Linked DNA regions of Drosophila melanogaster. The protein of the gene in region 1 interacts with the protein of each later gene in a pairwise test. Each region holds a gene or a part of one and is shown on either strand. Other genes may lie near its edges. The genes, in order: fest and CG13373.

What was found.
Region 2: the proteins of fest (region 1) and CG13373 interact in a two-hybrid assay, tested with the Drosophila melanogaster proteins (2 studies listed by BioGRID).

The regions. Positions count from the first base shown.
Region 1 is NT_033778.4:19,333,720-19,351,590, reverse strand, and holds fest (wurstfest), read right to left. Parts: upstream 9,783-17,871; 5' UTR 9,508-9,782; coding exon 9,220-9,507; intron 9,024-9,219; coding exon 8,640-9,023; intron 8,579-8,639; coding exon 8,400-8,578; intron 8,338-8,399; coding exon 8,161-8,337; intron 8,027-8,160; coding exon 7,880-8,026; intron 7,810-7,879; coding exon 7,546-7,809; intron 7,368-7,545; coding exon 7,265-7,367; 3' UTR 5,837-7,264; downstream 1-5,836. Other genes in the region: CG34045 (uncharacterized protein), read right to left, coding at 16,403-16,630, 16,803-16,856; Rgk1 (Rad, Gem/Kir family member 1), read left to right, coding at 5,494-5,538.
Region 2 is NC_004354.4:468,583-483,541, reverse strand, and holds CG13373 (uncharacterized protein), read right to left. Parts: upstream 6,559-14,959; 5' UTR 6,396-6,558; coding exon 6,251-6,395; exon of another isoform or gene 5,936-6,250; coding exon 5,611-5,935; exon of another isoform or gene 5,530-5,610; coding exon 5,466-5,529; 3' UTR 5,351-5,465; downstream 1-5,350. Other genes in the region: CG18273 (uncharacterized protein), read left to right, coding at 1-274, 497-658; CG3176 (uncharacterized protein), read right to left, coding at 961-1,024, 1,109-1,410; CG32817 (uncharacterized protein), read right to left, coding at 3,449-3,512, 3,597-3,898; ebo (ellipsoid body open), read left to right, coding at 7,146-7,148, 7,250-7,773, 8,229-8,384, 8,462-8,844, 9,036-9,232, 9,342-9,778, 9,837-10,386, 10,453-10,622 and 3 more; Cyp4g1 (cytochrome P450 4g1), read left to right, coding at 14,314-14,959.

The DNA.
Region 1 (17,871 bases):
ACGCGTTGCGTATACGTAATATGAGAAAATAATTGCTGGCTGCCACTGGCGACTAAATTGCTTTCGAAGCGAGCCCAAAGGCACACACTCATCACCCATACAGGCGCACAACCAAAACGATGAGATTGCAAAAAAGTTTCTTGTATTACCCAGAAAATGATTTCGTTTACAATGGTTTTTCCCTTGTTCATTGGACCCTGCCCCTCGAAAGTCAAAAAAGCGCTGCCTTTATGGTCCTGTTTATTGGCCCTCCTGTTGACCAAAACATTCGTTTGGTCTTCCATCGCATTTCCGTGCACATCCTGGAGTCTTCAGTCACGAGTGTCCTGAATCTCGAGTCTGTCATAGGAATTGCTCTGCTGATGTTTCTCGTTTTGCACCCGCCATAAATCACTATTATCTGAGGCAACATTTTAATGACTTGGGACATTTGCATACCCGTACACCTGTTTACCCGTGGGGCGGACAGGGGGGCGTGGCCGACCTCTTAACTGTGCCAGCCAAATTGTAGTTCAAGGACTTTGCAATAAGCCGTTGGTCTTAAAGGCTTCAATGATGTCTGCAGAGCAACCGCAAAGTCCCCGGTGCGCAATTCTCGTTTATTGTTTCGGTAAATTTACATTTGTTTTGAATGACTAACGGTTGTCCTTACGAAACGAAATTTATTGTCTGCCAGTCCCAAAAACACATATAAAATTAAGGGTATTAGGCAAAACCTAACTTTATCTATCTAGCATGTTAAATGTTCCAGCATTTTTCCCGGAAAAATCTGTGCCGCTGGATGAAAGGATTGTGTATTCAGAATTTTCGTATGTGGCCGAGCAAGAGGAAACTCATATTCCAATTCACGGCTTTCGATTTTCCACTGAAATCACTCAATTGTGTGAATGCCCAATAGCACAGTACATGTGCCATAATTCGGCTTTTGCTGCTCGTGTGCATTTCCATGTTTGAAGAAAACTTCCAATTTGCAGAATATTATTTATGGCTGATTTGAACGAATTTTAGATCATGGCTATGGAATTAGAGCCAAACATCATTTTAACTCTTTGCTTTCGTTATGAACTAAACCAAGGGCATTCCGACTTCGCTTCGGCTTTTCATCGCTCCTGCTGTTGACCCGCCAAAGCTGTTTTTCACTTTTCCCGGTGACACATGCCCACCCTAGCAGCCTTGGATTCTTGGAATCTCGCATGCACAACAAAAATGGCAAAATAGCAAAATGGCAAAATGGCAAAGCCAGCAACAGGGCCAAAAACATACAAGTGGGCTCCGTCGCCTGTGGACGGAATATGAATATGAAATTCCGTCGGGGGCCCAAAGGACCTGGCTTTTAATTGTGTGTCGGAAATTATGTTTCACTTTTCCCACCTCGGGCGCATCATCAACCAGTCTCGACGGTCTTTTGTTACCCCAAGTAAAAGTGGCCCGAGGCAAGTTTCTACTGCAGTGTAAATTGGGGGCATTCCGGAAAACATGACTCCTGCGAAAAAAGGAGCACGACTTCGTACAGTTGAATAGCTGGGATTTTTTTCTAATATTTTTTTTTTTTAGCAGCAACTCGGATCATACAGTTTTAATTGGTCTCTCTTGCAAACATGCTTCGCTTTAAAGGGTCATACAAATTTGAACTGAAACCACTTTTAATATAAAATATATTTTGTTTTGTATACTTGCAGTATCTTTGGACTTCAGTTTACAAGCCGCGCTATCGCAGCGTTTAAATTCGATTTAAAAAACAATATATCTCGACCACACACTACACAATTCAACTACAAATAAGATTTAGTAATTTCCTCGGAGCGACGACAACTTCGAAACTTGTAAACCTTGCGGCTTGCAATTGCAAACTGTGCAGCAAGGCGCCTAAAGTCCTCAGATTAAAGTGCAATCTAATTGATTGGCCAAGGACCAATCAGGGCGTGGAGCAGAGGTGCAACTAGGAGCTGGCACTGAATTGTAGGCGGCTGGTGGACTGATCTGCGGATGCATTTCGCTTGGACGGGGGCCCGACAAAGACAATACGGAGGGTCTACGGAGTGCTTTGGCCCGTTTACGCAACAGAACGGGCCCCTCTCTTCCACAACAACCCACCCCGCCGGCCTCTCCCCTGCCCCTTGCCAGCACCCACAGCAACGCCCACGGCCACGCCCACGCCCACATCGCGGAGAGAGGCGCCGGTGGCAGGTGCAGCAGCTATTGCCAAGAATCTTCGCCTAACTCCGCGCTCGCTGCCCTAAAGTCAAGTGAAGCGGGCCAAAGAGCCGCTGCATCAACAGGATCTTCGGTAAAAGGATCTGCAGCAGACGGTAGCCACATCAATGGCCTCGCCCATCATGTAAGTACTCAATGGCTCAACCGCAGATATGCCGCAGAGAATCCTTAGCCATATCTGGGGGAGGTAACAAAAGCTAGACTGAAGCCGCCATTGCCGAAGTATTTTGTATGTTACACCTGACACCGCATAATTCCCCAAAAGTGCACCGCAAGCTTGAATTGTTATATATATGATGTGTGATAATATTAATATTTAAATTGGTTTGGTATTAGAAATATGTACATTCAAACTTATTGTCAAATGCAAATACCCATTTTAATGAAGTCTAAAAATGGTCGAGCTTTACATTTATGAAATTCGCTGGAGCATTGGTAAAAGGATATGACAGTAGGCTCCATTATCAACTGGCGTTTCGGTCAGGTGTTAACTGAAATTATTGTGGCAGTCTCGTTATTGGTAATTCGATTTCCACTTACTTCACCCTATGTGGGCCGCAAATTGGTTTACCCAGGGTCGAATGGAACAGGGTCAGCACGTGAGTGGACCCGAATTTAAAGGACATTTCCGAAAACAACGACACCGACATAATTGCGTAACAACATTTTACCATTAGACTTAATTAAACCGTCGTTGAAAATAACTGCCATTGGCTGTTGAATGTGGTTGGGAAAATGGTAAAGTCGCAGACGGAATCTGCTGCAGAATCTCAGACAAAACCCGGCAAGAAAATGGGAGACACTTGAGCTGGATGGCAACGACAACATGCTGAGGAATTTTAATGAGATTTAGGGTTTGCATTTAAAGCGATTTCACGCATTGCAATTCTGGCAAAGGCAGCGGGTTAATTAGAATTGCCTTGTCCTTGCAAATATAGCCACCATATTATACCGCGAACCTTTTTCACCCAAAATCAAATGACGACGATGCTGATGATAGGTAGCATGTGCCAAATTTGCCATGGCCAAAATCAGATCATTTCTGGCCAAAACCAAAAAAAAAAATAGACACGTAAGACCACAGATTGCAATGTGAAAATATTGGAAAATTTACCATGCCTGCATTTCAGCTGGCCGAAACTTTCGTTATTGGAGAACATCGGCCATCATCACCGTTCCATTCTTTTGCCAATTTATAAAGCCCTTATTTCGGACCGGGCCAAGTGGATTAGGCCGAAATATTTGGCCTTCGGCGGGGGCTTTTGTTTGACTTTCCGGCCTGCCAATTCAAATTAGAGTGTTGAGAGGGGATTTACTCAGCGGCTTAATTAAACGCCATTATAATAATGTTGACGCTCGCCTGTTGTTACATTTCAATTGTTATTGCCGCACAGTTAGAAAATATTTACACACGGGTAATCGAATTCGTAAGAATTTTACAATTTTAATCTATATTCCTAACTCTTTAATAGAAAAGAAAAGAAAAAAGGGATTAACTGTACTTAACGTAGGCTTGCTATGAATTTCGCTACTTTCTTAATTAGTTTAATTACTTCTGATGAAGCAGACGTTTTAGAGTGCCCCAATCTACCTTCGAATGAATTCTATTCATGAATAATTTATGAATTGTGTCATGATATTGGCAAGCAGCATTTTTGTCATTGATATACGATATATACTTGAAACATGTCGTTCACAATCACCCTTTCGCCAATGCCATGTTGCGTTTATGGGTTTTTGGGGGCTAACAGCTCCGCCAAGGAGAAAACATCCATTGGGGACCACTCACTTTGAACTCCCGCTCAGCTCAGGTGGCTGGTCTGATTGATTTGATTGCTGTCACCTCAGGCTTACGCATCCGAACATAGAGATTCGGATGAAGTGCTCACCATGACAGATGGAGTTACTCAAATTCGTATGTATTTTGCGTTTATCTTGCCGGTTGAATTTAAGCCTCTTATCCGCAGGGGTAAATATTCATAATTTTTCATTTACCCCCCGTGGGCCATTCGTTTCCCATTAAATTAAACGAAGCTGAATTTTCACGCAGTACGAATGGGTGTATCCTTTACTGTCTGCCGTCTGTTCAGTTTTGGGATTTTCCTGGGTAAATCGGTTAAAATGCAATTATCGTCGGCAGTTGCAGTGTTGCAATGCGATGGCTCTTTCATTTCGACGGAAATCGAATTGATTTGCTGCATGACCACAGAAGAAGACAGGTGAAACGAATCCATGCGACGATTTATGGCCAGGAATTAAGCCTCATTGAATTTGTATTAATGTGAACGTAATACCGGTGGAGCGAGACTCGCATAATTGAAGAGCCCATTAAATGGTAAAATATAAAAATTGATGTCTTGCCTATCCAGCCCATTCCAACTTTTGTCGGAAATTGAATTTGATAAACTTTCTAAAGGCAAAAGGCGGAAGAAGAGAGGAGTTTCTAGGCAGCAATTAGTCCTTTTTGAGAGGATGTCGATGGGTGGTGAGGAGTGGGGTGGGGGTGGCTTGGGCTTGAGTTTGGGGTTTTGGGTGGAAAACTCGGTCAGATGAGATGCTACGTGCCATGCGTCAGCTGGAAAAATGGGAACCAAAAAGTTTGTTTATGCTTAGACTTTTTGGCCGGGTTCTCAAATTCGGGACCATATAGCACCGGAGCTCTGGCTTCGACTGCTGCTGTCATTCAAGTGTTTTAATCAATTCTGATTTAATTTTACGCCCAATTAAGTGTGAAAAGCGTTTGATGTTGAGCACGGGTGCGAGAGGCAAATGGCACCGTATACGCCCCCCGTTCCCATCCAACGGATTTTTCCGACCAAGTCACGCAAGCGTGAGCATTGAATATGCCATATGTGTGTGTGTGGGTCTCGCCCTTTATGGCTCCCTAGCTGCTGAGCCACATAACCTCGGATTCAGGATTCAGCCGGGTTCGGGTTGCTGGGTTCGGTTAGCGACTTTATTTAATACGCAGCACTAGAGTAAACGCATTTTTAGATGTTTGTATCCGCCTGAGCTGGAGACACTCACCATCACCGCCGCTTGAGTATCCTTGCCTTGTGGCTTCCGCACCTGCCCATGCTCACCGCCTCGCTTACGCTCACCCGCCATTTCTCTCTGTGTACCCGCTAACCATGGAACCACTTTCTTCCTATGACAGAGTCAGCCGTGGCATATAGTTCCGCCCCAGCATTATCCACTAATCTCTATCAACAGCCACTGCCAACGGGCCGCTCCTCCGGCTCCAACTCCAGGTTAAGTCTGTTGGAGAGCTTGGTCTGCATGACTGCCGATCCCATATCGTTGTGCTTTTGGATTTGTTTGCAGGTAAACATGAAGACCTCTCATCTTTTATAATATTTGTATATGAAAACCTTTTTTGGCAAACATTCAATTACTTTTAAACGTGCAATTCATTCCTTTAAATATTTACATAGCTCGCAAACTCTTTAAGCCCGAAAAGATTTCAAGTCCTGATGGCCCTTCAGGTGCCACAACTCCTCCAACAGGGTTGTAATGTGAATTGTAGTCGTTAAGCAATTTTCTTGTACTTTTACAATGCCAGAGGAAAGGTATGAGGTCATATATGGTTGCCAGGAGCCGCTGAAAATTGTATCTCGATCCAGATTTAACCCATGAGAATTAACAAAATTATACGAATCTATTACAGTAGCGCAGATAGAATTTACTTTATTCAGGACTTTCATGTATTACTTTTTGACATCGATTTTTGTGCACATAAATTTCGATATACATGAGGATTAAATTTAGAGTTTTGAAGATTGTTGTTGTAAGGCTACACAGGTATAATTGCAAGGCGTTTCACTTTTTTTTTTTTAAGGAATGGTGTTTAAAAGTGTGCACGTGTTTTAACTTTGTTTTCAAAGACGACTGCCTTTTTCAGATAAGCGTTTGTTTCGTAAGCTAATTAATTGTATTCCATTTCAGTCACAATTTCTCACTTTGGCCTGTCGTGTGTGTGTGTGTGTGTGTGTGCTTGTGCATGTGTGCGTGTATCTGTATTCCACGAGTGTGGTAGTGGTACTATTCCGTCTACACTTGGAAATTTAAGCACTAAGTCCACTCATTTTACATTTTACGCAACGTTTGCGCTGTAGAGTGTGTGTGTGTTGTGTGAGGATGAACATGGTTGGATTGTAGTAACTTAACTAATCTTAACTGGTAACTTAGAACTAACTGAATTGTCACTGGTGTTACGTTGGCCAAAGCAGCCGTCGTTTGTTAGCTAATTTTTTATCATGCAGAGGCTAATTTTGATATCAGCGATTTTATCAATTTTTGCTTATTTTTTTTTTTTTGTGGAAATTTTGCAACTTTCGATTTTCAATCTTGCTGAATTTGTTGCATTTCAAGTACGTGTCGAACGTTTAAAAAATCGTTGGAAACTTAATTTTGCTATACTGTGAGGGCCGAAAAGAAGCGAAACGCGAACCAAGTTCATTCTTTTTATAACACCAAACGCTGGCCCTGATCGAAATAGCATTGTCTTGGCCAGCGTTTCAGGCAACAGGTGGATTTTCCAGAGCCTATTCCACCTGAATTGCCTGTACTAAATAACGGTATGCGTATAAAAACAAGGATATCGAGGGCTAGAGAGATTGTAAGTGTGATTATCTAAAACTAATTCCCTAGTGTTTGCGTTGCGCCTACGTCGAGCAATCGAAAAGCAATCCTTCAAGGATCAGGATCGCCAGTTTTCGTTGCTCGCGCATTTTTTCGAGCTGTTTCATCTTAAATGCAGTTATACATTTATAATTTTTTTTGTTTAGAAGACCAGGTTTTCTTAAATGATCTGATCCCTCTCCACGCCGAGGCCCCAGTTTTCCAATGTTGTTTTGTTTGGATTTTTTGATTTTTTTTTTTGGGGGGGTCACTATATCGACGCTTGAGTCGGTTTGCGTGTGTGTGTTTTCTGTGATGTGTGTGTGGTGGTGGTATAATGGGGTGATTTTCGATTGCCCACGCTGGGTGGCTATAGGTGGCATTTGGATGGCCACCCAACGCGATGCACATCCCATGGTGCGAGCGGTACTTAGTAGACAATGAGCAGGTTGTTTTCATTGAATCCAGCCGAGTGACCAGCATTGCGTACAATGAAACAGGATCCGTCGAAGTGCATGCGCTTCTCATTACGACTGCAAAAAAAAAAAGAACAAAAGGAATCTTCAAATATCCGATTAACTGAATTACTGCAAAAGTATGGAATCAATTAAACACTATCAGTGTTATAATCGAATAAATATACGACGAGAACAATGCATTCTTCGAGTGCATCATTATTGCAAATAGGTGTGGATGCAGTGGCCAACTCACCGGACGAACAGGTGCGAGGTCTTGCCCAACGAAGCCGTGCAGTGGATGCCGGTGGTGGTCAGGGTGGCGGATCCATTGCCCGGACTGGTGCGAATCAGGCACTTGCTGTGCTGGCGGCTGACCTTGACCAGGCCGTCGGCCGCCTGGGTGATGCGGAATCCATTGATGTCATACACCTCGGTGCCGTCCTCGGCGCAATTGTAGGTGGAGTTGGCGATTACGTCGTGGGCATCGGACACAAAGGATGGGCCGTGGCGCGAATCGCTGGAGGGTGTTGTTAATTGGAAAGAGGAGCTTGGCGAATTGATTTGGGCAAATTTCGTGCTTAACTCACTCATAGAACACCGCCAAGGTGTAGTCCTTGGTCAGGTCGGTGAAGGTATCGGTGGTGGTGCGAGTGCCAGCTGTGTCCACCAGATAGATGAGGGCACAGGACTCGCTGGTGAAGCTAACGCCCTTGTACCACATTTTGGCATAGCGACTGGAAGAAAATGATTGCAGCTATAGTTGCATAGATTTTATACGAAAATCTAATGAGAAGTACAAGTTTAAATTCCAAAATACTAGTTGTTTGCCACTCTTAAAGTAAAGGTTCGATTCTACTTCTAAGCTTACACAAAGTTGTTGGCCTTCATTCCGTCGTAGGTGACGATCTCCACCTTGGAGCCGCTCTGCAAGATGCGCCCATTGGGATGGATGAGGGCAGAGTTGCTGCAGTTGCGCGATAAGGCGGCGGCAACCATGCTGCGCTGATTCAGCACACGGACAGCCTTGTCCAGGGTCATGTCAATGCTGGAATCGGGAATGATTTGGAATGATGATCAAGGGATAAATCTCCTACCACGTTCACTTACCGAACGCCCTCGCGCAGGCGCAACTGGATGGTGCCATTGGACATGGCAATCGGTCCAGATCCTGGACACGGTGGTGGTGTGTTGTTCTCGAACTCAAAAGTGCGCGAGCTGACGCGATCCATAGCAAAAGGTGGTGGTGGCATTGGCGATGGGAACTGCTGGGTGTGATGTGCCTGTGGCTAGGTAGATATCGCATATTTCTAAAATACGAAACACGGGGCAATAAATCAAAGCACTTACCATGCAGTAGGCTCCATCCACCTCATAGCCATAGCCAGAGTTGAAGCGTCCCGTTAGACTCTTGCCGCTGCGCGTAATATTGCCGGCATCCATGTTCCAGCCCATGGTCTCGTAGCCGGCACCAGATTGCGGCAGGACTCCGAAGCCCGAGTGGGAAGATGCGTGCATGCCCATATTCATGTAGCTGCGGCCGCAGCTGTTTGTCTGGCTGGAGCACTCCTTGGCCAGGACGGAGGTGCTGGTGCCCACGCTGGCGCTGTTGCCCATGCTGCTGCTGCTGTTGCCGCGCTCCAAGCCGCGCTTCACTCCGCCAGTCAGCGAAAGGCTGCTCATACGTGGAGCCAATGGGCTGTTCATCGATGACACAAAGCGCATGGTGGCTTGCTAGGGATTGGTAAGGGAAAAGGTATCACATGGTACATCAAAGATCACTTGCAAAAAATGGGAAGAAAAGATGACTTGCAAAAAATGCTAAGAAAATATGACTTGCAAAAATGACTTGCAAAAATCAAAGAGACGATTTTTTGCATATGCCTTCAAAATGAAGGCAATCCTATGGAGAAGTGACAACTCTACTCACCGGCGATGGGTTGTTGTTGGTGAATACGGAACGCTGGCGCACACCATTTGGAGCCTTGGTGGGCGAGCGCAAGATGTTATTGATCTTGTCGTTCAACTGGGCGCGGGACAAGAAGTCCTCGGCATTGAAGATGCCAACGCGGCCGCTCTTGGGCGTGGCCAAGGGGGCGGGGCCCGGTAGAGCCAGCTCCTCGACATGGGGCTCATCCAGGGCGCCGGAGTGCTGGCACTGCACCTCCTTGGTGCTGCTGGTCTTAGGTGCAACGGTGTCCTGGGCGTCGGTAACCATTTTGTCAAGATTCGATTGTTCAAAATTTATGGGAAAACCGTATGGAATCGAATGGGTGATGGATGATGGTGTTGTTGTTCTTGGTTGAAACGGGGCCTGGACTTTGGTATGTGGATCTAAACGAGAACGGCACACGCGGCGTGCTGGACAGCGAAAATCAAAGTACTCTGCTCGACACGGAACACAACGACTCAATGAGAGGAATTTAATTTTTTACTTTTTATGACTTTTCAAGAGCACTGCTCGCTGCGACAATTTTCGAAAGAATGACTTGCCTCAAGTGCCGATGGAAGGATGTGCCATCAATTCTGACACTCACTGGCCTACCGGGTTTTTCGATAGTTGAAAGTGTCGTAATATCGAGTACACGATACTTTACTTTTCCCTTCGTCCCTTTGAAGCCCTGGCACTTTTAGATTTCCCGTGAAAGTTCAACGTATATCCGATTAGTGCTGCATACTTTTAGACGGCAAAAAGCTGATTGAATTCAAAATAACGCATTTAAGGACGACACTGTAGTGCAACCCATCTCCTCGCTTTTAGTGGCCGGAAAACGAAGTTTCGCCTTCGTAATTGAATCGAGAAATAGACTTGAACACACGCACAGCAGTGCAGCTTCCAGCAATTTATTGCCGCTCATTTGTATAGTTTCTACGCAGCTATAAGCTGCAGCAAAAGACTTAGGCTTTAAGATTTATTGGGAAACTGCATTTTCCGAACGGGAGAAAGTGCAAGAGAAAGTGCCGTCATTCTTATCGATGCTGGTTAAATGCTGAACAAGTGCGCAGAGTTGCAAAGTTTTGAAGCGTTGGCAGGAAATGTCAAGAGTCAGATAAAAGTGATGTTTGCACGTAGCACAGTTTAGTACTTTGCTAATAAAAAGCTATCCCCTTCTAAATTGTTGCTTTAACGTGGCTTAAATATGTTGTCAAAGTCAAACAATCACGCAATTTAAATGTATTATACATTCAACTGAAACTTTTAAATTGACATATTAAATAAGAACTGGCATTTAAAGTTTCTGCGAAATGTAAACTGCTCTTATAGAACTTTCCAGTCGAACAGCTACAAATTTTTGGATTATTTCTTAATGAATAAACACTAAAATCATAATATATTTTAGTAATAGCTGCTCAATCGTTTTTCTTGTCAGTTATTAGCCATTTTATTTGCCTGAATGTTGACATATTAGCCACAATTTTGGCAAACCCCCAAGGTCGTTTTATTTCCATTTTTGTGGGTTCACTAACTCACCTTCAGTGTGCAAAGTCCCTGAACTTCCGGAACTATTGTGTTTTTTGTATACGACTGTCAACTCTTTCCGCTCTCATGATTGATTTTGCCTCTTGATTTCAGTTTTTTCTTGCGCGGATTAGTTTGTTTAATGAGCGCATTGACTCCTTGCATTTGGCCATCGGCCCACGCAGATTTAGATTGACACTTTCGCCATCATATCTATTTAAATGGACGCGTTTATTTAGACACTTGGCTGGCATATTTTTTAAATTTTATTTTTGGCACTTGGTCGGATCATTAAAATTCAGCCACTGCAGCTGCAATTCCGCCCACGCATCGCATTGACTCAGTTTTGAGCAACACCAACTGAAAGTGAAAATGTGTAATATATTTATAGCAGGAATGCAATCGCATATGCATTCAATGAAATACGGAAACTCATTTGTAAAAATCACCCCGTCCACCGAAGTGATTTTTCCGTTGTCACTTTCGCCAGCCGCAAGTGAAACAAATTGGTTAACCTCCTTTTTCAGTATTTATCGTTAAAAATATTCGCAAATATTCAGACAGCTGAAAATTCAGATTTTCAGCGAGCGTCGTTGGAATAGTTTGCTAAATTTTGAATTCAAGTTGTAATTACGCTCGTTTTGTAAAGGCAAAGGCACATTTGATATGAAAACTAAAAGGAGAACATCAGCCAAATGAATAGAGAAAATTCGCTATTACTTGCCGAAGCTCGTTAAAATGTGGAAAACTATTTTCGCCTTCTGCAGTCAGTGAACTTTGGCGCAGACAAAGATCATAAAATCCATACTAGTGTAGCGGCTATATATAGAAAGTGCATAGGACTCCGACTTGGCCAGTGTTGCAATCTTTGACGTCACCGTTCGCGTGAGTGGCAGTGCCAGTGGTAGTGGTGACCACTCAGATTGATGAGAAACTTATGGCATAATTGAAATGGCTTTTAAAATCCATTTGTTCAGCGCCTTCTTCCTTATTAAATCCTTAGCAATTTTCATTAAAAACAATTAGCGCCAACGACGCCACTTGCCTTTGTCGACAATACCAGCCCCTTCAGTTTCTACTGGGGGGCAGGAGGTGCTCGGGAATTGAATGGACTGGGTTGGAATCGGTTGGGATGGGACGGGATGGAAATTAATTGATTGTCAAGATGAGGCAACGGCAACCGAGCTGTGTAAACAAATAAATGTGTCTGGTCATTCAGCGGGAGATCTTTGTTGTCGCCTCTAGATGATAATGCCGCCCCGCTGTCAGCTATGGAATTACACTCACCCACTATATATATATATATATATATATATATATATATATATACAGATATTCCGAATCCGATGCACATACATTTACGGATCTCAACCGACAGGCACGCGACGCTAAAAGCCTCTCGGCTTGACTTCCATCAATATTTTGGCATTCCCGGCATTATTCTGGCCGCGTCGAATTCCTTGGTGACTTTTCTGTTTACACAATCCCCTTAAGTCCCGTGCCCCCACCTCGGCCCCCTGCAAGGTGATTCACAGGGATTTCCTGGAGACGAAGAAGCCACCACCTACGCGTGCCCAAAAAAACAAAAAAATAAAAAATTATATGAAAACAGATTGAAAGGTTGGTCAATTGGTGGTCTGAGCCAAAAGTCTGCCGACTGCCAACGGCCAACTGCCGCCGTTTGACGTCATCGGCTCTTCGGCACTTGCCAAAAAATCCACCCATCTCATACGCTCGTGTCTATGGTCTATGGTCTATGGTCTTATAGTTCATCGAAAAGGTGTGCCAGGCGGTTTTTTCCCCATTTTTTTTTTTTTTGGCTTGGGTTAAACTTTTGCAAGATTTAATGTGTGCTGGCGCTTTGCCCGCGTTGTCGGTCTGAATTTCACGCTTCATTGATGGGCAAATGTGACGTTGTCGCGTCTGCTTTGATTTTGATAAAATAGGCCAAAGTGTTCATCAATAATCATTTCTGTAAAGATCGGTGAGCGAAGCAATTATTTTTACAAAATTTACAAAGAGCCTCGCCAACGAATGCACAAGATAAGTTGGCTCAGGCATGGCAATCCATTCTTTTTTTTTGTTTTGAACATCCTTCACACATCAAAATTTTAATTTTTTTATTTCTACTTTTTAAGAAATATTATGTCAACAAGTTATGGGAAATACATAAGCCATGCACGTGATTTTTGCAACACACTTTAATTAGTTTTTATCAATTTAATTGGATTTTGTCAAGTAGTAGGCAGCAAAGTCGGCTTTTGTCGATAAAATATAGTCATTAAAACTTAAGTGGGATGTTTAAATGAATAACGTTTATAGGAAAAGATAGTTTCCACTTTTAAGGCCATTGGTAAGTTTAAAATTCAATTCATGTCATTTAGTAAAGAGTCATAAAACCGCACCGCCAGCAACCGCAACTTTATTTATTTAATTTTAATTACTTTACTTAAATTTTCATTTATCAAAGAAAACCGCACGAACTTGGCACAGCCCCTAGAATATTCCTCATATTTTATTCATTGGTAACCCACATCGAAAGCCACTGTACAAATTTATACATAAGAATTGTGCAAAGAGCCAGGGAAACGCGGACGTGCCTCTTGGCAGGTGCCACGCCCACTTTCCCGAAACTGTTCTACTTTCTTCTGTTTTCTTTTCTTTTTGGGGTCCACCTTGCTTCAAGAATCCCGAGAAGGTATAAATCAAGTGGCTTTCACTTCTGCCTGTTCCGCCTTCATATATATTATATTTTTTTTCTGTTGTTTTTGGTGCATATTAATTTGGGGAATTTTGTCAAAATGAATTGTATAATTTTATAACACATCCTCAGAGCTTTATTTGATGAGCCGTGTCTATAGAAGCGGATATATGTATATGTATGACTCGCATTCGAGTGGAATAAACTGTCCGTTTAATAGAACAATATACCCCGGATCGGACAAGGTATCCGCACCCAGAGACAATTACAAATGCATTGGCAATTGCAGAGCAGAGAGAGAATGGGTTCCATAGTTTCCGGGGCACGCATTTCGCTCGCTTTGTGCCATTATTTTATTTCCAATTCCCGGAGCGGCAAAAGAATCGCCCAGACACGCCGTCCAGACGGACGGGTTCAACGCACTGGTTGGTACTGATGGAATCATCGGGACACCCAGCCATTGTTGACTGCCAATTGGCCATAACCAGACCGAGCGTCGAATAATCACAATCGGACTGAACTATTTGCAATTCCCCAGCCCCAAAAGCTGAACATCTAGCGCAGACAACCCGCTGACTCAGAAATGTGGAACCATTCCCATTCCCATTCCCATTGGCATTACCATTTCCATCGCGTCGCAGCAAGAACCCATCACTATGGCCATCCTCCCGAGAACTGTCAACATTCCGTGGCGTCCTCATTTCGTGGCGAGTGAATTTACAATTTCTGCAGCGAGCACACCTTTTTGCAGTTTACACGAAGCGAAACAAATAAACGAAGTGAAAGTGATTTTTATTTTCTGCCTATAATTATGTTCTTTGTTTTATTTGAATGGCTTCTGATGCAGTCGGAGCAATAAATATTTATAACAAGTGTTCCTTTCATCTTGATCTTAATTTTTTTATGCAGTCAATTTTTAATTTTAATGGAAGATGTCCTTTCTATTGCGATAATAATATTATTTATTATTAGTTTACTTGACAATATATACAAATGAATTGACCATTTTGTTTCTTAACTTAATTCAGAAATTTCACATTGCGATAGCTAATTTCTCGCAGTGCAGCCTGTGAGGTAAAATTCCCGTAGCTCTCTGTGGGGGCCGGATAACTGCGAATACGAATGGGGAAAAAAATGAACCACAACCGCTGCCCATTTTCGTGTGTCTCCGTTGTTTACGGTCCGTTGCGGTGGCCACCGCCAAGTGCACATCTTCATCCTCCATCGGCCATTTGCGCCACCCACACCTCACTGGGATCGGATCACCTCAGCTCGATGGAGGCGGAATGCTTTCAAGTTATTTCTCAGCGCTGTCTTCTTATTGGGATCAAGTCAATATTTGTCGAGTAAAAATTACTTCCTGCTCCGAAATGGTGGCATCTCTTAAGTAGCCCCATTCCACTTTGATGTTTGCATTCCTGCCGCCCTCTTAATTTACGAAAAATTACAAATAATTGTTTGTATAACTTGATGAGACCAAAAACGTTTTAATTAGGGAACGTTCCACATTTTGCGACCTGCAACTTGCCTTCTTTTAATGAAGAAAGTTGTTTTATCTTTCATGTTTTAAGAAATACAAGCGCAAGTTTAAATAAATACTATATGTTGTGTTTAACTCATGTACCTTTTAAAGGTGCCAACTTCTTCTTGTGTATTTTATTTCTATGGAAAGAAATTTTAAATTTAAAATTTAATTTACTCAATTTTTTGTTATTAAAAACTTTTATTATCTTTGACGGTTTTTAATATTAACGATACATCTATATGTATGGCAAGGTATGGTCACCACTCCATCCAAAATTAAAACATATTAAAATTCAAATTGAATTATTTTAGTGATGGCTTGTTCGTGGGAGAAAAAAAATGTGTAGGAAACCGGCGTGTCATTCAATTTTGCAGAGCACATGTCCACTTCGGGATTGAGTTTCGATTTTTTGCTGTCTGGCCGGAAGGGAGTTAAACCGGAAATGCGAAAGGGGCGGAACCACCCACTTCGCACTTGTCAGTGGGGGCGGGTAAACTTGGCCGTTGTGCTTGTTGTTGTCGCAGCTGTTTGTTTGTTTGTTTGTTGTTTGCTTTTAGCCAGCGCCAAAAGCGTGTCAAACGAAACTGTTAACTGGAAACTGAAAACGGGCGGGCGTTTTACACATGGGTACTTTAATGCGTGAAGCTCGGCAAACACAAATTCAGAAATGTGTACCCAAGAAGTCAAGGACTCAGGAAAGCTTTCAGATTTATTCGTTGCAACACAAATGAGGCAAGGCAAACAAACAATCAGTCGAACTGATTGCTTATCCAAAAATTATATTCGATTCGCGAGGCTAACTGGCCTGCATTTTTGGCGGCCCAGCCTTCAAACGAATTTACATTAGAATTTTGCCAATCGCACTTGAGTTTTCAACTATCAACACGTAAAGATGTCAGCGAATCCATTAGAAAGACGCCATTAGCGTCGCCATTTAGTGTCATTAGCTGGAATTCATAGTCGTTCTTGAGCGCGTGGACATGCCGGAACTCAAAGGCGACCTTTGATCCAATGATGTTGGCCTAAAAGCTTGGCGGTCGCTGCAATTACCGTTGTGGTATCCTGCATCCTGGATCGCAGTCACGCAAAACTTTGTCAACGCCTGCAATTGGCCTCGAACCGCAGCAATTAGTTGGTGTGGCCTCGTTTAATGGCCTTGTAATTGGTTATCGGCAGACCCTACTTAGTTGAAAGGTATCTGAGTTTATCACAAAAAAAAGCAACTTTAATTGGGGCAGTTAGATGTTATAGTAGGATAAAGCGGACCCTTGTTAAACTCATGCTTTTGGAAGTGGGTTTTTCCAATGGGACAAGCAACTGCAATCATATGTTGCAAGTTTGAAAATATTTTGAAAAAGTGCATTTACCCGATATCTTGCTACTTTTTTTAAAGACATTTTGGTAAGGTATTGAAAGCTTTCTATTCACTATGGAAACTGGCAAAGTGCCACGATAATCAAAACAATATGTATCCAGGGGCTAAGGAATGCGATTTGACCAGGACTTTTTCCAGGAATAATAGCGTTGTGTATACCGCTGCCCCCACTTCCATTTGTCGAGTTCCTAACCCGACCATCGTGTCCATTGCAGCGGTCCTGTTGGCAGGATGTGAAATAAGTGCGAAACGTTTCATCTGGCTTATTGCCATACAGCATCTGCAGGAGAAAGAAACCAATAAATGTGGCTTTAAGTGGAGCATAAATGTAATATTCAAATGAAACTGCAATCGTTTTTTAAATCACTATTCAATGTCACTTTAATTTAAAGAACTTTTAAATATAACAAATAGATTAAAACAGAGATACAAATATTTGTGGTTTCACTTACCAACGGCTTGTCCTGGCAGTCGCGTCGGAAGGACATCACCTTGCTCGAGTTACGCTGCAATGGTAGTGGCAATAGGAGATCCACATTACAAACATATGCTCAACTGATTAATGATACCCACTTTCCCGATGCCACCAATCATCACGCTTGGTCACAGGGACCTATTTGCATTTTGTATCTGCAAATCGAATTTGCATTTGTCCTCGTTTCAGCGGCCAAAGTAATTAATGCCCCAGGTCCCAAGTGCCTCAAAAAGCAAAAAAAAAAAAAAAAAAAGAAATAAAAGCAAAAAGCGGGTGAAAGGGTGAAATGCAGATGTGGATTGTGGATGTGCGGCACCGAGGCAATCTATGGCCCAAAAGCTAATGCGTAAACAAAGTTCACACTAGGGACATCGTTGGCTTGTAGGATTGGTGGGTCGGATAAAGTTTTAATTGCATTGCAGCTAGCTAGCTGGCTAGATGGCAATGCGACTAGCATAAGTTTCCGCTTCAGGCGGCTTTGATCCGCACGAAATTCAATCAGTGAATTCGGCCTGTCTAATGAGTCGCTAGCAAAATTTGGAAACCTCATTTGGTTATGTAAGACCTGGCGGACTGGGGCTTAAAAGAGGCGACAAAGTTGACTTTGTGGGTGGTCGTAAGCTGGCCTAAGCCTTCCACGGGATCCATCGGCTACATGGAATCGTTGGGTGTGGGATCTCTGCACTGTATGTGCTCCTTATACGCCGCTCTGGCTTTCCATTAAATTATGGTAATGGATTTTTTATGCACTCTGTATTCGCTTCTTGGGCTTATTTTACAACCACTTCCCGCGTCGTTTCTTTGCTCCTTGGATTTGAGCCGCTTACTGTTGGAAATTAAAGCCAGACGAGCTGCGTCAATACTGTGAAAATAATCAAGGAGTCTGCACTTGATTGCTGCACGCATATTCACACAAAAGGGGAGAAGAATTAAACCTTTTGAAACACGCAGAATGTCTAGCACGATTGACTTAATTCGATGAAAAATATTTAATTTAACTACAAAGTAATTTTCTTAAGACTACTTTACTGACAGCATTTTATGTT
Region 2 (14,959 bases), on another chromosome or scaffold:
TAACCTGATGTCAGACCGAGCAGCCCAGCTCAGTGTCCTTTGCCAGGATCTCATCCAGGCCGTCGTTGGCTATCGGGCGGAAAGAAAGCAGACACAGGACATAAGTGAAACGGAGCTGGATGGTTTGGCGGACTTGGGTCTGAAACTGGCTACTGTAATGGCCACAGTGCGCGCCACGCAGGCACTGGCCGTGAAGAGAGTCGCACCCTTCCTGCTTATCTTCACCATTCGCCAAATGGTAGCAACCGAAAGGCCCACGACGCTGTTCGAAAAGGTGTGTTTTACGTTAAGGGAACGCCATTGGCCAAGTCGAAGTCAAAATTCAAGTTTCGCAGCATTCCGAAGAATAGATCAACGATTTTTGTTTCGTGTTAAGAAGTATATGGTTCTATATTCTTTAAGGAGTAATAATTGCCATTTTTTTATTCTATGCGTCCACGTAGTATATATATTTTTATAGTGGGCTTACTTTGACTAATAATACGATTTTCCCCAGATCAAGGTCCACATAGTGCGCGTGTGCCATGAACTGATCGGTATTTGCGATCACCGTGCCGGACACTTCATCCTACGCTCCAGCAATGAGGCCGGCGCCAGGATGTACGAAGGATTGGTGAAGGATCACGAGAAGTACCACAAATTTAGGGGCAAGGTGTAGGTAGAGACAAGGAACGAGTACACCTGTAAATTTTTTTTTATATTTATATGAAATACCAACTCTTTAAATATAGAAATATAAAAATGATTGAGTTGTCCAAAATTTGTACTGCTTCAGAACTTAAAATTTAACAAGCACTGTGACCTTGCTGAGTGCTTGTTTGTGTGAAGCCGAACATCTGGCAGTACTCGCACAGCGCTAACGAAGAATAGATCAAAGATTTTTGCCTAATGTTAAATACTATATAGCTCTATATTCTTTAAAACGTAATACATTTGACATTTGCTTGATTGTTTGATGCCCTAGCTGAGGAACATCTGGCAGTGCTCGCACAGCGGATCCTCCTCTTCTTCAATTCGATTACCACTGGAAATAAGATGATGGTCGATTGATTTTTAAACTAACGGGTTTCCCTAGGGGGATGCTTCTTCCTTCTGGGACTTAACTCACAATAAAGTCACGCAGTTGCGGCAAATAAACTTGGCGCACTCGCCGCAGGAGTAGCCACACTCCTCGCAGAGATCCATCACGCAGTTGACGCATATGTCGTGGATGAGTGTTGGGAGCTGGCAGCAGCGCGATTTCAGGGGCGGATTCGACAAGTCGATGGAATGGTTGCGCAGAATGATGGAACCATCGCCCAGCAGATAGTACTGCTCGCATAGGGCGGGCTCCTCCTGGCCTGGCCCCAATGGATTCAGGGTATTCTGGCCCTGACCTTGCCCATTGCCGGTTTCGCCATCGAAAAGCATTTTGATTGTCTTCTCTGCAAAATAAATAGCAAAACGGAGATTTCCAGTTCAGGGTTAGACACCTCAAGGACGCCGCTCTTCCATCAGCTTCGATGGAACGTGACATATAACAGCAAAAAAAAAAGAATATTTACTTGATTTGTTTGAGGTCAGCGAGAAGTGCAATCAGAACCCTTAAAATTTCCAAATTGCAATGACAGTAAAATAGTGAGACCGATCGCGGGAAACAAGCTGACTTGACCCCATTCAAAATGCCAAAATCAGTAAATCACAAAATCGATTAATTTGCCAATCGATTCTTACTTGCAATTGCGAATTTCTGAACACTGTAGCAGTTTATTGCCAATCTCTTCGTGGGGTTATCCCCGTAAATTTGTGGTCGCTGCTTTGCTCCATTTTTTGTTCTCGTGTTTAACGGTTTAAACTGAACTCATCTTTGCATTGAGCAACAACAAGCCCGACATAACTGCACTCTGAGCGGCGCTTCCTCTCCGATCTACCACCCGCTCCATTACAGGAAGTAGGAGTAGGTGAGTTGGTGCAAGTGGGACAATGCTTTACATACCAAGGACCCTCTTCATCTTTCGTGGTCCGCGGGGGTCGCCCATTTCTGTTCAAGATTGTCTGCCCATGGTTCTCAGCTCTGAGCTGCTCCAGGATGCCCTGCGGTCCAGCAACAAGCTTCTATTCGAATGCTATGGCAGCCTGATCAGATGCTATCAGGAGTGCGTTGAACTTCGCAAGGATAACAAGGATCGGACTAAGAGCCAAGACTACTGGGATGCAGAGTTTGTAGGTTCTGTGATCAAGCAGCTGGCAGAGATGGTTCGCCGCTCTCAGGAGCCTGAAAAGCTGTTAGAAGAGAACAATTCGAAAACTGTTCGTCCTCTTGTCACTCGGTGGGTGCTTTTCGTGTTTATAAGTATTGAACAAACCAAACAACAATGTTGCTATATTTTTAGTTGAACTATCGCGATGCTAATGCGACACGCTTGCTGAATGTGGCGCTCACCCATCGTCAACGTTTGCATTTGGATCCGGATGAGATAGAGTTCGTGCTAAGCAGCTATTGGAGGCAATTGAATACAGACATTGAGGTGGGCGACACATTTGCCAGTTCAGCACTGGATTGTCTGGAGCCGGCCATTAAGCTGATCCTTGGCTATAAGACTAACGAGGATTTCCTACTGCTCCTGCGCCGTCTCTCCTCACAAGTGGAGTAAGTGGCACGCCCTGCGTCGCAAACGCAGCACATGGCGCTCCAAAATGTGCTAACCCTTTTGGCTCTCTTTGCCAAATGCTCGTTGAGCAGCGTGAAGGGAGCGGTGAGTCTTCCCCAGTACCTTATTCTCGTTCCATAATGTTCTCTTTAGATGCTTAATGACCATTTCAACCGGAACCCAAAGACTTGGCATATTCTGGTCATGCCCTATGACTCCTAGAGGCCCAGCGCAATCTGGCTGGGAATCGTACGGTCCCTCTCACAGGAGAGTCCCTGGATTGCCTTTTTGGCAGCATGTTGGATGTAGACATCAAGCACTTGATCAGCCACGGCGGCAGTTGGCAGCACAGACAACCTGATTGTAACAGCACAACACAGTAACCTGATGTCACCCCGATCAGCCTAGCTCAGTGTCCTGTGGCAGGATCTAATCCAGGCCATCATTAGCTATCGCGCGGAAAGAAAGCTGACACAGGACATAAGTGAAACGGAGGTGGATGGTTTGGCGGACTTGGGTCTGAAACTGGCCACTGTAATGGCCACAGTGCGCGCCACGCAGGCACTGGCCGTGAAAAGTCGCACCCTTCCTGCTTATCTTCACCATTCGCCAAATGGTAGCAACCGAAAGGCCCACGACGCTGTTCGAAAAGGTGTGTTTTACGTTAAGGAAACGCCATTGGCCAACTCAAGGTCATGATTTAAGTTTTCTAGCATTCCAAAGAATAGATCAAAGATTTTTGCTTAATGTTAAATACTATATAGCTCTATATTCTTTAAAACGTAATACATTTGACATTTGCTTGATTGTTTGATGCCCTAGCTGAGGAACATCTGGCAGTGCTCGCACAGCGGAGCCTCCTCTTCTTCAATTCGATTACCACTGGAAATAAGATGATGGTCGATTGATTTTTAAACTAACGGGTTTCCCTAGGGGGATGCTTCTTCCTTCTGGGACTTAACTCACAATAAAGTCACGCAGTTGCGGCAAATAAACTTGGCGCACTCGCCGCAGGAGTAGCCACACTCCTCGCAGAGATCCATCACGCAGTTGACGCATATGTCGTGGATGAGTGTTGGGAGCTGGCAGCAGCGCGATTTCAGGGGCGGATTCGACAAGTCGATGGAATGGTTGCGCAGAATGATGGAACCATCGCCCAGCAGATAGTACTGCTCGCATAGGGCGGGCTCCTCCTGGCCTGGCCCCAATGGATTCAGGGTATTCTGGCCCTGACCGTGCCCATTGCCGGTTGCGCCATCGAAAAGCATTTTGATTGTCTTCTCTGCAAAATAAATAGCAAAACGGAGATTTCCAGTTCAGGGTTAGACACCTCAAGGACGCCGCTCTTCCATCAGCTTCGATGGAACGTGACATATAACAGCAAAAAAAAAAGAATATTTACTTGATTTGTTTGAGGTCAGCGAGAAGTGCAATCAGAACCCTTAAAATTTCCAAATTGCAATGACAGTAAAATAGTGAGACCGATCGCGGGAAACAAGCTGACTTGACCCTATTCAAAATGCCAAAATCAGTAAATCACAAAATCGATTAGTTTCCAATCGATTCTTACTTGCAATTGCGAATTTCTGAACACTGTAGCAGTTTATTGCCAATCTCTTCGTGGGGTTATCCTCGTAAATTTGTGGTCGCTGCTTTGCTCCATTTTTTGTTCTCGTGTTTAACGGTTTAAACTGAACTCATCTTTGCATTGAGCAACAACAAGCCCGACATAACTGCACTCTGAGCGGCGCTGTCTCTCCGATCTCCCACCCGCTCCATTACAGGAAGGAGAGTAGGTGAGTTGGTGCAAGTGGGACAATGCTTTCCATACCAAGGACCCTCTTCATCTTTCGTGGTCTGCGGGGGTCGGCCATTTCTGTTCAAGATTGTCTGCCCATGGTCTCAGCTCTGAGCTACTCCAGGATGCCCTGCGGTCCAGCACCAAGCTTCTATTCGAATGCTTGGCGCGTTGAATTTCGCAAGGATAATAAGGATCGGACTAAGATTCGACGCTCTCAGGGGCCTGAAAAGCTGTAAGAAGAGTACAATTCGCAAACTGTTCGTCCTTTTGTGGGGCTGCATCTGACCTTAAAAACTCCATGCCTAGACGAACTAGGGATAGATGAATGCTTCCGACATATCTGATCATTGTCTTTAAGACTAACGAGGATTTCCTACTGCTCCTGCGCCGTCTTTCCTCACAAGAGGAGCAAATGGCACGCCCTGCGTCGCAAACGCAGCACACGGCGCTCCAGAATGTGCTAACTCTTTTGGCTCTTTGCCAAATGCTCGTTGAGCAGCGTGAAGGGAGCGGTGAGTCTTCCCCAGTACCTTATTCTCCTTCCCTAGTTAATAATGTTCTCTTTAGATCCTTAATGACCATTTCAACCGGAACCCAAAGACTTGGCATATTCTGGTCATGCCCTATGACTCCTAGAGGCCCAGCGCAATCTGGCCGGGAATCGTACGGTCCCTCTCACAGGAGAGTCCCTGGATTGCCTTCTTGGCAGCATGTTGGATGTAGACATCAAGTACTTGATCAGCCACGGCGGCAGTTGGCAGCTATTTGTGGATCTGTATAATGCACTCACAGACAACCTGATTGTGCTGTTAAAAGAACACAGTAACCTGATGTCAGACCGAGCAGCCCAGCCCAGTCTCCTGTGCCAGGATCTCATCCAGGCTATCGGCCGGAAAGAAAGCAGTTACAGGACATAAGTGAAACGGAGCTGGTTGGTAATACATTTGACATTGTGTCGTCCCAAATTTGTACTGCTTCAGAACTTAAAATTTAACAAGCACCGCGACTTTATAAGTGCTGGATTGTGTAAAGCCTTAGCTGAAGAACATCTGGCAGTGCTCGCACAGGGGATCCTTCTCTTCTTCAACTCGATTACCACTGGAAATAAGATGATGGTCGATTGATTTTCAAATAAAAGGTGTTCCCAAGGGGGATGCTTCTTTTAAGGACTTAACTCACAATAAAGTCACGCAGCTGCGGCAAATGAACCTGGAGCACTCGCCGCAGGAGTAGCCACACTCCTCGCAGAGATCCATCACGCAGTTGACGCATATGTCGTGGATGAGCGTTTGGCGCTGGCAGCAGCGCGATTTCACTCTCTCCAGGCGCGGATTGGACAAGTCGGTGCGAAGGTTGCGCAGAACGATGGAACCATCGCCAAGCAGATAGTACTGCTCGCATAGGGCGGGCTCCTCCTGGCCTTGTACCAATGGCTTCAGGGCATTCTGGCCCTGACCCTGCCTATTGCCGGCTGCGCCATCGAAAAGCATTTTGATTGTCTTCTCTGCGAAAGAAATAGAAAATCGGAGAGTTCCAGTTGAGTTAGACACTTAAAGGAGGGTTAGACACTCAGCTTCGATGGGACGTGCAAAAGAACAGCAAGAAAAAAATTAAAAAAAAAAATTTATGCGTAAATTCATCGTAAATTAGAGGTCGCTGCTTTGCTCAATTTTTTGTTCTCGCGTCTAACTGTTCAAACTGAAGTGAGCAACAAGTCCGGGATAACTGCGCTCTGAGCGGCGCTATCTCTCCAATCTCCCACCCCTCCATTACAGGATCGAAACAAGATAAGTTGGTGCGAATAAGGCAATTTACATACCATGGACCTCCTTCATCTTCCGAGGATCACGGGAGTCGCACATTTTCTGGTTCACAAATACCTTCCGCTGCGTGAGATTGTTGTTGGCGTCGCCATCCGCTGATCGCGATCGTTTTGCCGCCTTTTTACGGACCTGGTTTTCCATGATGAGATACTGGCAGATTGTTGGGCAGATCGGATAGGAACGTCTTGAAATATCAATTGAAAATCCTTTACTTTCAGGTTTCCTAACTTGCAGGCTAACAGTTAATCAGTGTCCCGTTTTGCTAACAATATTGCCTTATTAGAATAGTGCTACCATATTAAAAAATACATACAAAAGCGCCGACTGCGATCAATTTTTTTATCGTCTATCGATCGAATTTGCGGTTAGGCGGAAAATTCAAAATGTTTCTGGTTATGAGCTGTTTGGAATAGTCCAGCATTTTTAATTTATCAGATTAAAATGACTGAAAATATAAAATTTATTACATTTGTATAATATATATATATATATATATATATATATATTTGTATAACTATGGATTTGAATTGGATGCTTGTCTGCTCGCTCGTAGTTTTAGCTGAAACATTTATATAGCCAATTTTATTTAAAAAAAATTTTGTTTTAGGTAATTAAAATAAGAAAGGTAGAATTTTTTTATTTCAAAATACCCATAACCAACAACTATCGATATTTATTGACTATCGGCCAGGGTTGCCAGCCGTGCGGAATTTGTTCACTTTCCCGGAGTAGATTTTGGCCACCTTTTGTGTAAAGACACAAAGAAAACCATGCAATTAATGGACGCCGACTGCTGATGCGATCGGAATTAGAACCGCGAGCAAGCGGAGCTCACAGTGACCGTAACATCCAGATCACAGATACTCGGAAGGATCGTAAAGGACACGGAAAATGGTGAGGCGGGGGGCTCCGGGCCAAACGCACTATTTTGCCAGTGATTCAGAGTGATTCCACCTAACCGGGAATTGGTTTCCACCCACCCACTGTCTGTGCAGCACGCCGCATCTTTGACGACGGTGGAGGGACTGCTGCAGGAGTTTTATCAGCCCAGCACCTCCAATGCCCGGAAACGAGAGATCGAGACAAACCTCTTGGCCTTCAAGTCCCAGCCAGAGGCGTGGCAACTTTGCCTCCGTGTGGCCACCTCTTCCGACACCACGGAGAATCAGTTCCTCTGGTTCTTCAGCACCTCAACCTTGGAGCACACAATCACGCGGAGATGGACACAGTTGACGTCCACGGACAAGACTTTGCTGCGGGAGACCCTTTGGAACTCGTATGCCCAACTGGTAGCCACTCCAAATGTGGCCAAACGGCACAGGGACACACTGGCCCAGTTGATAGCCCTACTCGGAAAGAGGGAGTTCCCTGAACAGGACCCCAATTACATGCAACACTGCATGGAACTGACAAAAACACGGTTTCAACTTGGCATCAACCTGCTTAAGATCACCTCCGAGGAGGTGGTAAGCAACAGGGGCGACCTGACCACCGAATGGAAGCAGTACTTCTACTCCTGGTGGGTAAATAGAGCGAAGAGGCTAAAATCGTATGTTTTTTAAAAAAGGTTTTGTAGTCCCATACTTTTAATGTCTGTTTAAGACTACTTGGATTTTTAACTGAGTACGGCGTATCAGATGGTCGATGTTTTCGAGCATAGCGTATTTTTATTATTAACTTTGGTGTTATTTGTTTAAATACACGATTGCGTCGCACAACATAGAATAACACAATCCCAGACCTTGTCAGTCCGTTCTTGTTTTTGGTTTATTAATAAGTGTTATATTGAGATTGAGTATGTATATGGCATAACAACTAAAGTCAGCTGACCTCTTAAAACTCAACTAATTGAACCGTTAACCCAGTTATCATATTATATTGCTTTGTTGAGAGAAAGCACTATAATTACTGGTCAGTTGCCACAGCACTGTTCCTAACCCATTTTGTGCTCCCTTTTGCCGTGTGTTTCTGTAGCATCTCCATGTGTGTACCCGATGTTCTGGACCTGGTAACCAAGTATCTGCTAATCGCTGTATGCCACATCAATGGCAAAGACATCCAAACAACCATACCAAACACCCTCATGGACTTTAGTCTAACCTCAGCGCTGCCAAATGACAATCAATTAAGGTGGGTCATCATAACATTCAAAAGAGCATATGTTCATTACAACATTTTGTTATAACATCTCTCTATATACTCCGCAGTTCCTCAATTTTGGACCTGCTAGGATGTGTGCAGCACTTGGTCTCCTGGATACGCACTGAACTGATCTCGGAGTACTTCCTTATGAGCATACTTGACCTTTCCCAGTGGCGACCAGCCCATGAGCCCATCTCCTTGGCGGCTCTCTCTGTGTTGAATGAGCTCCTCTACCTCCAGAAGCCACTGCCCTTCCCAGGACCCTTGATGGGCGGCGTTACCAGCCTCCTGGAGCAGCACAATAACAATCGGCGGCAGAGCGAGATGTACAGCGACAAGTTTCGGGAGCTGCTGCGCCTCTACACCACCAAGTATGCCGCCAAGCTGATGCAGGAGCCAGACCTGCTGGAGACCTTTCTCAATCTGCTATACAGCTGCACCACTGAATGTGAGTCGCGTGATAAAAATATTGCCTTTTGAGATGCTAACTTATTTTTTATTTTGAGATGATCTTTTTGCTGTGTAGTCATAAAACACTCGCAATATTAAATGGGTTATGTGCATCTCGTGATCGAGATTTCGAAATGTCGTTGACAAAGATATATAACAAAAGTTATTAATTTTGTATTCCCCAAACAGTACACGGCGCCTTGGACTTCACCGAAAAGCTTGAGATCTGGACACCCATCATCAAAGGCATTGCCCAGCACCCCGCCAAAATCACGCGTTATAACAATGTGCTTACCCAGCTAGTAGATGAGATTATGAGGCGCACTCAGTTTGAGGCCAACAAACCCGAGCTAGAAGTGCTGGACAACGAGCTCATGGAGGACGATGTAAGTAGCTCTGATTTAAAGTGTTTTTAGGTGACAAATTTCAAAAACCAAGAAATAGACCTTGCATTAGAACGATCTTCATTTTATCTAGACATTCATCCAATTTCAGACCTCCGCCACTGAGTGGCAGCAGTTTCTAGACCAATGCTTCGAGTCCCTGGCCCTACTGGCCAACACCAGAGGTGCACACATCGTTTTCGCACAGGTCTATAACCACTGGTCACGGCCACAGATGTATTTACTGTCCTTGGAGCACGCATTGGACCACGGAAGCGCTCGAAGCTACGAAGCGGCACGTAAACTGAAGGGCGCCAATGTGGGCGAGATTTTGCGCGACTTTGCCACCGTCTGCCAGGCGGTCGTGCGTTTGGCCCCATTGATGGACTCATCAACAGCAGCACCCGGGGTTGCTGATGAGATGGAGTGCCAGCTGCAGATGCTGTCCGACAGTTTGCTGCAGACTCTACAGCTCCTCGCAAGCAATCGTTTGTATAGCGGCGGCAGCGAAATGGACAAAGCTACTTTCCAGACTGATTTGGACAACCTGTAAGTGGGGCATCCCTTTGCATGATGTATGTGATACTATGCTTTCTTGATCCTTCAGATACGCTCAAGTTCTACTGGCCATGAGGAGCATCTTTCCGCTAACGAAAGCCATGAGCGGCGAGGAACTGCTGCACCGCCTGTTTGCTATCCTGGGCAGCATTTTCGCATGCAATGGATCCTTAACGGCTGCCTCCCCCATTGTGCAGCAGGCGGCAAGCGAGCTGCTGCTTTTCATATCGACTGTGATACGGCCCAAGTGCCTGCTGGATATACCACAAATCCAAAGCCTGCTGCAGGCAGGCTCTCGCTTGGGCGCCCAATTGCCGCGTCAGGTGTGCATCAATGTACACATCAGTCTGGTCAGCTACATGGTGCTGCCGTGGAAAAGCGTTCCGGAGCAGCAGCAGGAGTATCCGAGGCGTCTCTGGATGCTGCGTGAATATGTCCAGGGGCTGGCACAGAACTTTCTGGATCTGGACTTAGGCCAGGCCAACGAGAGCAAGGTGGCGGCCACCACGCTCAGTTTGCTGGGTACTTTCACTGCTCTCATTGAGTATTTTAAAGCTACTGGAGGCAATGCCAAGGATATGCTGGCAAGCACTTTCAAGGTGCCTTATTTTTTTAAGTAAATTTAAACATCCTATCCTAATCTATTAACGTTTTTTGTTTTCCAGCCTATTTTAACAAAGGCCCTAATGATTTTTAACAACTTTGGGCAAAGCAGCATCGCCATGGCCATCACGGTGGCCGAGTTTAGCCTGAGCATGCTCCGAACATTGCCCACCCATTTGGGGGCCCAGTTCATTAAGGAAATGATCACCTTGTTCATAAGTGTCAGCAGTAGGTGGGTCTCCCATCTCTTTCTTTACAGTGTGAGTGCTTACTAATGATGCCATCTCTTTCTGTCTCCAGGGAGCAACTGACTCTGAGCCGACTGGCTGTGATGGAAAAAATACTGCAGATGTTCAAGTTGATCGTGGAGCAGCCAGGGAGCGCCTCCTTGGGGCTGCTTCCCTCCATTTTAGATTTTAGCACTCAGCAGATTCTGCCCTTGTTGCAGCAGCAAAATGCGGCAACCGATAACAGCGAGATCACTAGCCTGTTGTACGCTTTGTTTGATAGGTGCGTGATGCTGCATAAATTAAAATAAATTGTACTTGTGTCTTGTGTCGTCATGAATTAACGCCCTTTCTCCATTTTAGTGTCCTCACCTGCAAGTGGCAGTTCTTCTACAAAAATCAGCTCTCCAATGGTCACAGCGGTGGTGGCTCCGGCAACTTCAACTGCAGCGACAACCTGCATCCAGCACACTTCATGGCCATCCTGAATGCGTATGGCCAGATGCTGGTCAGTGGGACTGATCCGAGCAATGTGCGCAGCGTTCTCTTCTCAATGCAAAATGTGAATGAGAGGAGTCGGTTGTACCAACGCGCCTTGTTCAAGGAGCAACTGCTGGCTTCATTTCAGCGGGCCTTGCTCAATCTGCTGTTGAGTGGAGAGGGCTCCCTCCACTTCGACATGATTGCCCAGGCGTTGTATGCTATGGGCCAGGTGGACCGACGCCAGTTGCTCGAGAGCTTCGTTCACGCCTCTTTGCCAGTGGCTCAGACGTCGCTGGAGGAGATCTGCCAGACAAATGTGAGTCAAATACTGAATATAAAGGGATCGACACCACTTGCAAGGCAAAAAAAGAAACTGTCTTCCATTTATGATTTAAGCATTCTGTTACAATCTTACTGTCCATGTCGACTTGTTTCAATTGTTTCAATCAATATAAACACAAAATTGCAAGTGGTGGTGACTCTTCCATGACTGACTTTGCGTTTAATAGGTACTACCTTTTATTGTTCAGGACATTCCAACGTTTACGCAGAAACTCACGCAGCTCATGCAGGACGCCCACTGCGTGCACCTCAATGAGACGGCGTAGGCCTTCCTTCCCTCAAGCGCGGGACTTTAACAGCTCCCCATCCTTGTTCCGTAAACCACGGCCGCATACGATTAGGTTCTTGCATGTATATAAAGTACTATATTGTTTTATTTTTGTAACTTTTAAATGTAATATGCTGTCGCATTTTGCATGCCATATTTCCCGATACTGTCTGTCATCTACTTCAGGTCCTTTGTCTTGTGGGCCGTGTCCCCAAAGCCCTATGTTCTAACACCATCCCACCAGATTGCGTTTGGTTCTTCCTTGTGCGATGTTGTATTTCTGTTTAGAAAGCTCAGCATTCGTCCCGATTGAAAAAGACATTAAATGTTAACTTAAAACAAGCTTCGTACATAGATTTAAGTGCATTATTATCTTTAGTTTTATGTCTACCACGTAACGAATATACGATTACTCTGCTTTCTGTGCTGTCACCGCAACTCGATAAAAGTCATACTACATATACATACCTACATATATCTTAGTAGCATATACATTTATATCCATAAATTAATTAGCATATCTCAACATGTAAATCAGTTACGTTGTAAGCAAGTATAAAGTATCAAGTAAGAAAATAGCTGGAAGGGCCGAAAAACCCAGGTACGAAATTATGTATGTAATTTATTTCGGGAAAACCTAACACCACCACCAACCAAAAGTAAATTCAAGGCGTTTAAAGTCCGTTGTAATGATTTGAACTATGTATGAATGTATGTATGTATGTATAATTGCTTAAGTCCTGCAATCAAAAGTCCAATAAAACTATTTTTACCATTTTATTCGCCAGTTGTTCGCAATTAGATATGTATTTGATTAGCATGACATTTATTAAAGTCTAGTTAGTATAATCAGTTATAAAACGATGGGTGGCACGTGGCTTTATAGGAGCAAATGCAAATTTTGCTCTCTTTTCATACTATGCATACATAGGTAGACATGTATGTATATAAAAGAGATCGAATTATGAAACAGTTATCTTTCATCTCTCTTTTGTTCCCTTTCCTTTTCCACTACATCAACTATCGACTGTTCGAGCTTTTAATCCCGTTACTTTGTTCTAAAGTTGCCTGAAATGTAACTTTATTTTGACTACACTCTGTGATTTCAGTTATTCCGGTCAATTTGGTGAGTGCAGTTTGATATTGGAGGCCTACATTCGGTTGGACTACGATTAGTGATAAAACGGCGAAATTAGTTAAAAACCATTGTTAGAGGTTTTCGTAGTGTGTTTTCGGTGTCGCTTACAGTTTTTGTAACTGTGGTTTCAATAAATGCTGTTAAATATCTGACGCAAATGTTCGGTGTAGCTTACGGTTACTTTTACATGTGATGTACATACATATGTACATATGTAAATAGCGGTCGTGTTATTTCATTGTATTAAATCAAGCAACAGAGGCAATTTATAAATAAATTAGAATCTCAGGTAAGCTATAGGCAACTTATTTTCAATAAATTGCTTATCATTTCAACATCCATAACCTTAATCATTGCAAACTATTACTAATAGGATTTCCTATAAACATAGACCTATGAGTATAACGTTAAATGTTATATGTTTAATTACTATGCCTTGCGCACGCGCTCAAATAATCAAAATGCCATAAAAATAAATGGTAATAAGAATCACTTATAAAAACAATCGGATAACGATGGAGGAGCTGGAGGATGTTGCGGACGAGGTCCACAAAAGAGACAGCTTCCTTTTCTTTGTCTGTGGCTTACATACTCTCTTGTTTACTCACTCGATATTTCCTTTTGCATACTTTTGCTCAGGTGTCGAGGACAAAAGCGCCGAAACCAAATTTAATAAAAAGCGAAAGCAAAACAAAGGAATATCATTAAAATGTCAGGAAGCGAGGCAAGAATCACCCACTTCCGCTCACCAGCAGGTAAATGCCGTAAAATACAGGTAGCCGAACAGCCAATGGCTGGTTTGCATATTCTAGATCCTGGCATCAAACGTACATCCGCAAGAAGTAGGGTTGGTGAAAGAGACAGTAGACACATTCACTTTTCATTCAAATGTGTCGCAAATTTCGCAAAAAATAGCTATTTTTAGAACTACGGAACTAAAAAGTTCGTTAAAAGAATTTTACGCTGTTGAGGTGTTTAAACGAACTGACGTCCAATGGAGGAACTCAAATAGTGTTATAAATGTTTTATTATTTAGTGCAAATAATGTTTCCTAATACTAGGATTCAATGTTTATGTTTTTAAAATGGAACCACGAAAGGATTTTAATTAATATACTATACCAAACGTAAAATCAAAGACAACCACGGACTTCGAAATGCAGTCATGTCTGCTTATACGGATCTACAATGACGCAGTGCAGGCATTGGTTCCAAAGGTATCACCGCAAGCGAGTACGTGACTTTGATTTGCTTTGCTAATTAGTGGGACTGGAAATCAAAGTGGCATATGCTTGACTTCAACCAGTGGCCCCAGAACTCTTGGAACCATATAAAATGTTGCATGTGGTCAATGGCGATTCACAGTTGAGCACTGGCGGCTGATATAGCAACAGTGCCATCTTCAGAAGACAAAAAGGATTTGCACCAGAGGACCAGGGATCAGGAGCAAAGAAGCAACAGCAACCATGGCAGTGGAAGTAGTTCAGGAGACGCTGCAACAAGCGGCGTCCAGTTCGTCGACGACGGTCCTGGGATTCAGTCCTATGTTAACCACCTTAGTGGGCACCCTGGTGGCCATGGCATTGTACGAGTATTGGCGCAGGAATAGCCGGGAATACCGCATGGTTGCCAATATACCATCCCCACCGGAGTTGCCTATTTTGGGACAGGCTCATGTGGCCGCCGGCTTGAGCAATGCCGAGATCCTGGCCGTTGGCTTGGGTTACCTCAACAAGTACGGAGAAACCATGAAGGCCTGGTTGGGCAACGTCCTGTTGGTGTTTCTAACCAATCCCAGTGACATCGAGTTGATCCTGAGTGGGCACCAGCACTTGACCAAGGCGGAGGAGTATCGCTACTTCAAGCCCTGGTTCGGTGATGGTCTACTGATCAGCAATGGACATCATTGGCGTCATCATCGTAAGATGATTGCCCCCACCTTCCACCAGAGCATCTTGAAGAGCTTCGTGCCTACATTTGTGGATCACTCAAAGGCGGTAGTTGCCAGGATGGGCTTAGAAGCGGGCAAATCCTTTGATGTTCATGACTATATGTCGCAGACCACGGTTGACATCCTGTTGTCTACCGCCATGGGTGTGAAGAAGCTTCCGG